2 linked regions of the Macaca fascicularis genome follow. The protein of the gene in region 1 binds, or shares a complex with, the protein of each later gene. Links are inferred from orthologs where the notes say so. Each region holds a gene or a part of one and is shown in the gene's direction. Other genes may lie near its edges.

Region 1 (3,770 bases):
TGCAGGCTTTACAGGAAGCATGGTGCTGGTATCTTGGTTTCTAGGGAGGCCTTGGGAAGCTTGCAATCATCATGGAAGGCCAAGGGGGAGCAGGCACATCACATGGCTGTGGCAAAAGCAAGATCGAGAGAGAGAGTTGTAGGGGACGACTCCACAGATTTAAATGACCCAATCTCTTGAGAACTCACTGTCATAAAGAGAGCACCAAGCCACAAGAGATGTGCCCCCATGATCCAAACACCTCTCACCAGGCCCCACCTCCAGCATTGGGGATTACAACTCAACAGAGATTTGGACAGGAGCAAATATCCAAATTATATCACAGCACAGTAACCATTGGACCAAAATCAGGCTTAGATTCTAGTCTTCTGTTGTATCAATCACTTGATATATGCCTTTTCAAAAGTCAGGTAAAGTGTCAAAGTTTCATAGTTTATAAAAGAAGGATGGCATTTTACCTGTTGAGAGAAAAGATAAAATACTTGCAGTAATATTAGACACACACAGACATACACATGCTCTCTCTCTCACACACACATACACACACACATATAATTGTTAGCTGGCCATGTTATAACTCCTACCACACATATTTTTACATTATAATGCATTAATAATTTTAATATTTATTGAAATATTTGTAGATATTAAAAAGCCAGCCCTAGGAACCACTGGTAGTATCTATAAAGCTTTTCAGTTCTTCAAAATAAAGTGTATGAGAGGTAGATTTTTCATATTTTCTTTTTTTTTTTTTTTTTTTTTGAGACGGAGTCTCGCTCTGCCGCCCAGGCTGGAGTGCAGTGGCCGGATCTCAGCTCACTGCAAGCTCCGCCTCCCGGGTTCACGCTATTCTCCTGCCTCAGCCTCCCGAGTAGTTGGGACTACAGGCGCCCGCCACCGTGCCCGGCTAGTTTTTTGTATTTTTTAGTAGAGACGGGGTTTCACCGTGTTAGCCAGGATGGTCTCGATCTCCTGACCTTGTGATCCACCCGTCTCGGCCTCCCAAAGTGCTGGGATTACAGGCTTGAGCCACCGCGCCCGGCCATTTTTTTCCATATTTTCTAATTGCAGTTGACCTTTCTCTCTGAATGCCAAAGGAGATAATCTACACATTACTAGTTATATATTTCTTGAAATGGATGAATGTGATATATACCAAGGAAACATTTTAAAATACCAAAACTTTACAAGGATGAGCCAAGCAGGCACTAATCTCTAGTTATGCTCCTGTACAGATGTCAGCCCACCAAGAAGGGCTCGTGTGACAGATGCTACTGAGACCACCATCACCATTAGCTGGAGAACCAAGACCGAGACGATCACTGGCTTCCAAGTTGATGCTGTTCCAGCCAATGGCCAGACTCCAATCCAGAGAACCATCAAGCCAGATGTCAGAAGCTACACCATCACAGGTCAGGGAACTCACTGTGCTAACCACATTTGTTAAAAAATATCCACAATGTAAACTGATTTATTAATTGCTCTAAGACTGACACTGATAAAATTTATTTTCAGTGTTATCATTACCCAGTTTTAGAACATTATTTTCATGCTATGATCAGAAATTGCTTTGTCTTTTGAATGCCTGATTTTGTGTAATATTTGTCATGGAAATGGCATAAGTTTCATTCAACAAGTTTGATCTTTCATCATTGTGCCCTTTCTTATTTAAAAAATTATAACACAAAGTTTAAAACTAAAAGAAATAAAAAACAGTGATGTATAGATCTTAGCATTAGTATAGATTAAAAAGCATAGTTAATATAAAAGTAAATGATACTACTTAATAAAGGTCAAAGTTGTAACCAAAGAATATTCAATATCTGAGGTCTTTTTCAGTTTTTTAAAATTCTGAATCCAAGGCTCAGCTATTGATCATCTGATTACTATAAAGAGAAAACCTCAATAAATGGCCGCCCCTCATTCTGCAATGAATGTTGCCTCTTCCAATATAGCATTTTTGCATTCCAGAATTTACTTTAGCCAGTGTCCTTATCTGCATCAGTGATTCACTTTCAAGATACATTTCTTGTTAACAGTTACATCCATACCATGCTCTACTTTACTGTTCAAATGTGGACCACTTTGATAGTCTATATAAATATGGGATGATAGAGAAACCCAGAAAAACTGCAGGCGAGCTTGAGAATTCTCCTAGTAAAGCAAGAACTGGTAAAAATCATCTCTTCTCAAATCCCAGGTTTACAACCAGGCACTGACTACAAGATCTACCTGTACACCCTGAACGACAATGCCCGGAGCTCCCCTGTGGTCATCGACGCCTCCACTGGTAACTATACCTTCTACTGAGGAAATGCCACTGACTTGTATGCAATCAGTCTCATGAACTCAAAAAACAAAAGTGAGGCGGATATTTTTGTATTATAGATTCCCGAGAATCCTGTTTCCGGTTTACAGTATTCTCAGATTCTTTTAAGTGTGTTTAGAAGGGCTAGGGAGAAAAGTGTGGGAATAATTTTCTTGGTTATTTGCCTTCTTAGAGACTTAATTTTCTTTTCTTTCAGCCATTGATGCACCATCCAACCTGCGTTTCCTGGCCACCACACCCAATTCCTTGCTGGTATCGTGGCAGCCGCCACGTGCCAGGATCACCGGCTACATCATCAAGTATGAGAAGCCTGGGTCTTCTCCCAGAGAAGTGGTCCCTCGGCCCCGCCCTGGTGTCACAGAGGCTACTATTACTGGTATTGCTGCTTTCATGCTGTCATTTTCCTTCTTACTACCTAGGGCACATGAAGTCCTTAGCAAACGCCCGCTGCGTCTTTGATACTGTGTCATGAGAATGCAAAACCCTGTTCCTGATAACCTCAAAAAGCATTCTCTGTGTAGGAGTGGTACAGCTCAATACATCCCAGAAGGCATGAGTGAAGGAAAATGCAATTTCAAGACTGTCCTAAATGGCATGACTAGACTCATGTTTTCCTTTTGTTGCAAGTTTGCCAGATACCTGTCAATTCAGTCCTGGAGAAAGATATTTTTAAAGCAAACTAGCTGATAGTGATTCTGTCATTACACTCAGATCTCTATAGATATGGCATTCTTGCAGGACTTGCCAGAGTACCACCTGCCATTGACCACTATCACAGGATAGGTCTTGAGGCACAGCAATCCCAACCACCCACATCAGAAAGAATGCCTGGAATGGCCAATAAAAGTTGATTACCTTGGTGGGAAAGACTATAAGTCTCTAGTATTATTTTTGCCCAAGAGATGAAATTTTTAAACTATGTGTATTAGTCTGTTTTCACACTGCTATAAAGGGGTTTAATTGCTCACATTTCCGCATGGCTGAGGAGGCCTCAGAAAATGTACAATCATGGTGGAAGGGAAAGCAGGTATGTCTTACATGGCAGCAGGAGAGAGAAGCACAAAGGAGGAAATTCCAGATACTTACAAAACTATCAGATCTTGTGAGAACTCACTATCATGAGAACAGCCTGGGGGAACCACCCCCATGATCCAATCACCTCCCCTCCTCAATACATGGGGATTACAATTCCAGATGAGATCTGGATGCGGATACAGAGCCAAACCATATCAGTCTGTATAGAGTATCACCTAGACTTTAAAATTCCCATAGAACATACAGACATTAGAAGGACACACTGCCTTTTTAAAACTCGGGAGAACAGGAAAATAGAAGCAGATATGAGAGGAATTGAACTAGACACTTCCCACAGAGGCTGTACAAAGATTGGCCAATCTCTCTTACCCTTCACTTGCCTTGAGTTTTGCTTTTCATTGATCTG
Region 2 (3,770 bases), on another chromosome or scaffold:
AAGCAGCCCGGGGACCAGGTCTCACCCCTCCTGCAGCAGGGGATGGCTGGCTATGACCAAAGCCATGGAGATAGGGTGCAAGGTGGGGGGAAAAAACCAGGGTAGGGGCCCACAAACAGCCTGGAGTCTGGGCTGTGAGTCTTTTCTTTTCATCTTTTCTCAAGGCCTGTCATTGGCCTTGGAACTAAGCCTGTGAGATACCAAGCGGGGCTTAGGGCTATGACCCACTCTTGGGACCCCATGCCTCACTTCAGTCTTCTTGGTTGTCGCATAGGGTGATGCTGGTGCCCCTGGAGCTCCCGGTAGCCAGGGCGCCCCTGGCCTTCAGGGAATGCCTGGTGAACGTGGTGCAGCTGGTCTTCCAGGGCCTAAGGGTGACAGAGTAAGTTCAACCTTCCCTCTCCCCTGAGCCCTACATGGCTCCCATCTCTGCCTACTGTGAATCCCTCATCATCTCTCCTTCTCCCTGGGATCTGTTCCTCTTCTCACTAATCCTCCCCTCTTCCCCTTTCTGCTCTGGCCTCTTTGCTGATGAATCCTCTCCTAGTGGTCCAGGCCTGTCTCTCCCCATGAGTTACCATGGTGATGAGAGGTGGGGGCATCTCCTTGATGGAGACTCCCTTATTCATCCCCCTATACAAGTCAGGGGCCTCTTAACCCCAGTTCTACCTGAGTCTCCAGGCAGGCACCCTTTTTCCTGAAAGGACCTTTGAGTCCTTGCCCCAGGTGGAGGCAGGGCAGAGCAGGAGAGGGCCTCTCAGGAAAGCCAGACACAAGCAGAACACTACAGGTCATCTCCTTGCCCCACACTGGAAATCTCAAGCTTATCCATGTCTTTAGGGTGATGCTGGTCCCAAAGGTGCTGATGGCTCTCCTGGCAAAGATGGCGTCCGTGGTCTGACTGGCCCCATTGGTCCTCCTGGTCCTGCTGGTGCCCCTGGTGACAAGGTGAGGTGGCTGCTTCCCCACCTTCTGCCCTAACACATAGCCTCCCCAGCAGGCCTGGGCACGGTTCCATGGGGTTGGGTTGGGAAAGCAGGTCCTGTCAAACTGAGCTGTCAACCCGGGAACCTGGAGGGACCAGAGGGAGGGGAGGCTCTCCTGGGGTCATCTACCAGGAATATTCAGGGGAGGCCCTGACCCTGAGCCTCTTGTTCCTTGCTCTCAGGGTGAAACTGGTCCCAGCGGCCCTGCTGGTCCCACTGGAGCTCGTGGTGCCCCCGTAAGTATAGAAGACCTGTTAAGACCCCACACTTGGCCCTTCCCTCCCTTCACATAGCACTCCTGGCCCTGTCTGTGCCTCCACCCCTTGCCTTTCCCCTCACTCCATCTCCGCCTTCCCTCATGTCAGCGCATCTCTCCAATCTGCCACCTTTTCTTCTAGGGAGACCGTGGTGAGCCTGGTCCCCCCGGCCCTGCTGGCTTCGCTGGCCCCCCTGTGAGTACCAAGACCCCCTCATTTTTCATCACCGACTGGGACCTGGGACCTCGAGGGACAGAATGAGGACAAAGGCGTCAGCCCTCCTCTGGGGAGAAGGGTGGAGACGGGATTGTTTCCCACCCAAGCATCTTCCTGCCTCCATTACTGCCCGTTGCCCCGCCGGTGGAAACTCCTGCCTGCCTCCCTGCACTCACGGCCCTGCTTCCTCCCCCAGGGTGCTGATGGCCAACCCGGTGCTAAAGGCGAACCTGGTGATGCTGGTGCTAAAGGCGATGCTGGTCCCCCTGGCCCTGCCGGACCCGCTGGACCCCCTGGCCCCATTGTGAGTGGCTTGCCCTCTCTGCCTGTGATGCTGGTGTCCTAGGACTCAGGACAGGTCCAGGCTTGATGCCTCTGTACTCTCCTACAGGGTAATGTTGGTGCTCCTGGACCCAAAGGTGCTCGTGGCAGCGCTGGTCCCCCTGTGAGTATCACCTGCCTCTCTGCTGAGCCTCTCCCCTCTCCCCAGGCAGCGGTGGCAGGTGAGGGCAGCTGGATAGGATGACTTGGCTGTTCTCCCTCTGACGGTTCCTTTGTTCTCCCTTCCAGGGTGCTACTGGTTTCCCTGGTGCTGCTGGCCGAGTCGGTCCTCCTGGCCCCTCTGTAAGTCTCTGCGGTGGAGTCCACTGCTCTAGGTTGGGGGTGGTGGGTGCGGGCTGCCAGAAGGATGGTGGGTCCGACTGAGGAACCAATGATGCACCAGAGCCCCCTGGAGTCTGACGGCCGCTCCTATCCCCATCCAGGGAAATGCTGGACCCCCTGGCCCTCCTGGTCCTGCTGGCAAAGAAGGTGGCAAAGGTCCCCGTGGTGAGACTGGCCCTGCTGGACGTCCTGGTGAAGTTGGTCCCCCTGGTCCCCCTGGCCCCGCTGGCGAGAAAGGATCCCCTGGTGCTGATGGGCCTGCTGTAAGTGCCAGCTCAGATCTCTGCAGCTCCAGAGGTGTCCAGAGCTGAGGAGGGGTCCCTGTGCTGCTGTCCCGCACCTCACCCCTGTTTGCCTCCCACAGGGTGCTCCTGGTACTCCCGGGCCTCAAGGTATTGCTGGACAGCGTGGCGTGGTCGGCCTGCCTGGTCAGAGAGGAGAAAGAGGCTTCCCTGGTCTTCCTGGCCCCTCTGTAAGTGCCCCCCTCACCTTGGGGGACCCTGAGAAAAACCATCACAGGACTTGGAGTGGGGTGGAGCCAAGGAGAACAGATTTGGTAGAGATGACCTCAGGGGACTCATGGGTCCTCTCAGACCCTGTCGCTGGCCTGACTCTTTCTTCTCCCTTAGGGTGAACCTGGCAAACAAGGTCCCTCTGGAGCAAGTGGTGAACGTGGTCCCCCTGGTCCCATGGGCCCCCCTGGATTGGCCGGACCCCCTGGTGAATCTGGACGTGAGGTGAGCAGTCCCCAGCCCCCATGCCAGTACCCTCAGCATGGCCACTGTGGCCTTGCCTAAGTCCTCTTCTCTGGCTGACTCTCACTTCTCTCTCTCTCTCTGCAGGGAGCTCCTGGTGCCGAAGGTTCCCCTGGACGAGATGGTTCTCCTGGCCCCAAGGTAAGATGGTGACACTCCATGACCACAGCCTTGTCTGCTGCTTCCCTGCCCCATCCTGGCCATTCAGCTGGAGCTGGCCCATATTCCTCTGCTCTCCCCCGCCAGGGTGACCGTGGTGAGACTGGCCCCGCTGGACCTCCTGGTGCTCCTGGTGCTCCTGGTGCCCCTGGCCCCGTTGGCCCTGCTGGCAAGAGTGGTGATCGTGGTGAGACTGTAAGTAGCTGGGCTCCAGTTCCCTGTGTCTGGTCAGGCCAGGGACTCTCCAGGCCTCCTTAGAGGCCTGGGGATGGGTGTCGGACTTCACCCAGGCAGGGGGAGGAAAGGAGATCCTGCAAGATGTCGGGGCCTTAATCCAAAAAACTGAGTTAAAGCTCAGCCTCAAGTCCCCTCTCCCAGACAGGACCCCCTCTCCCTTGAGCTGGCCCCAGCTCTCATGAAGATTGCAGTGGGGAGGTTTCCCTGGGAGTTGGGAGAGATGGCCACAGTGGGAAGGGGCTGAGGAGAGAGAGATGCAGCAGGGGGAGGCCTCATCCTGCAGCCCCAGCCTCAGCCTCCCCTGGCCAAGATCTCATGCTCTCCTTGCTCTCCTCAGGGTCCTGCCGGTCCCGCTGGTCCTGTCGGCCCTGTTGGCGCCCGTGGCCCCGCTGTAAGTTCCCTGCTGTGTCTCCCACACCTTCGGAACCCTACAGATGCGGACAGTGCCCCACTTGATGCCCCGTCTCTCTTCTAGGGACCCCAAGGCCCCCGTGGTG

Evidence for each region.
Region 2: the proteins of FN1 (region 1) and COL1A1 are in contact, whole or in part, in a crystal structure (PDB 3GXE), measured with the Homo sapiens proteins. The link is inferred for Macaca fascicularis from reciprocal best matches to the Homo sapiens genes FN1 and COL1A1. Residues at the interface, in NP_997647.2 of Homo sapiens: Asp516, Gln517, Lys533, His535, Glu537, His539, Leu541, Gly549, Arg550, Gly551, Arg552, Trp553, Lys554, Cys555, Pro557, Gln560, Phe569; in NP_000079.2 of Homo sapiens: Leu261, Pro262, Gly263, Met264, Lys265, Gly266, His267, Arg268.

The regions. Positions count from the first base shown.
Region 1 is NC_088386.1:111,261,432-111,265,201, reverse strand, and holds part of FN1 (fibronectin), read left to right. Parts: intron 1-1,235; coding exon 1,236-1,412; intron 1,413-2,200; coding exon 2,201-2,290; intron 2,291-2,525; coding exon 2,526-2,705; intron 2,706-3,770. UniProt on the Homo sapiens protein: Fibronectins bind cell surfaces and various compounds including collagen, fibrin, heparin, DNA, and actin. Fibronectins are involved in cell adhesion, cell motility, opsonization, wound healing, and maintenance of cell shape.
Region 2 is NC_088390.1:56,524,293-56,528,062, forward strand, and holds part of COL1A1 (collagen alpha-1(I) chain), read left to right. Parts: intron 1-274; coding exon 275-382; intron 383-840; coding exon 841-948; intron 949-1,168; coding exon 1,169-1,222; intron 1,223-1,384; coding exon 1,385-1,438; intron 1,439-1,655; coding exon 1,656-1,763; intron 1,764-1,850; coding exon 1,851-1,904; intron 1,905-2,029; coding exon 2,030-2,083; intron 2,084-2,223; coding exon 2,224-2,385; intron 2,386-2,486; coding exon 2,487-2,594; intron 2,595-2,751; coding exon 2,752-2,859; intron 2,860-2,964; coding exon 2,965-3,018; intron 3,019-3,123; coding exon 3,124-3,231; intron 3,232-3,610; coding exon 3,611-3,664; intron 3,665-3,748; coding exon 3,749-3,770. UniProt on the Homo sapiens protein: Type I collagen is a member of group I collagen (fibrillar forming collagen).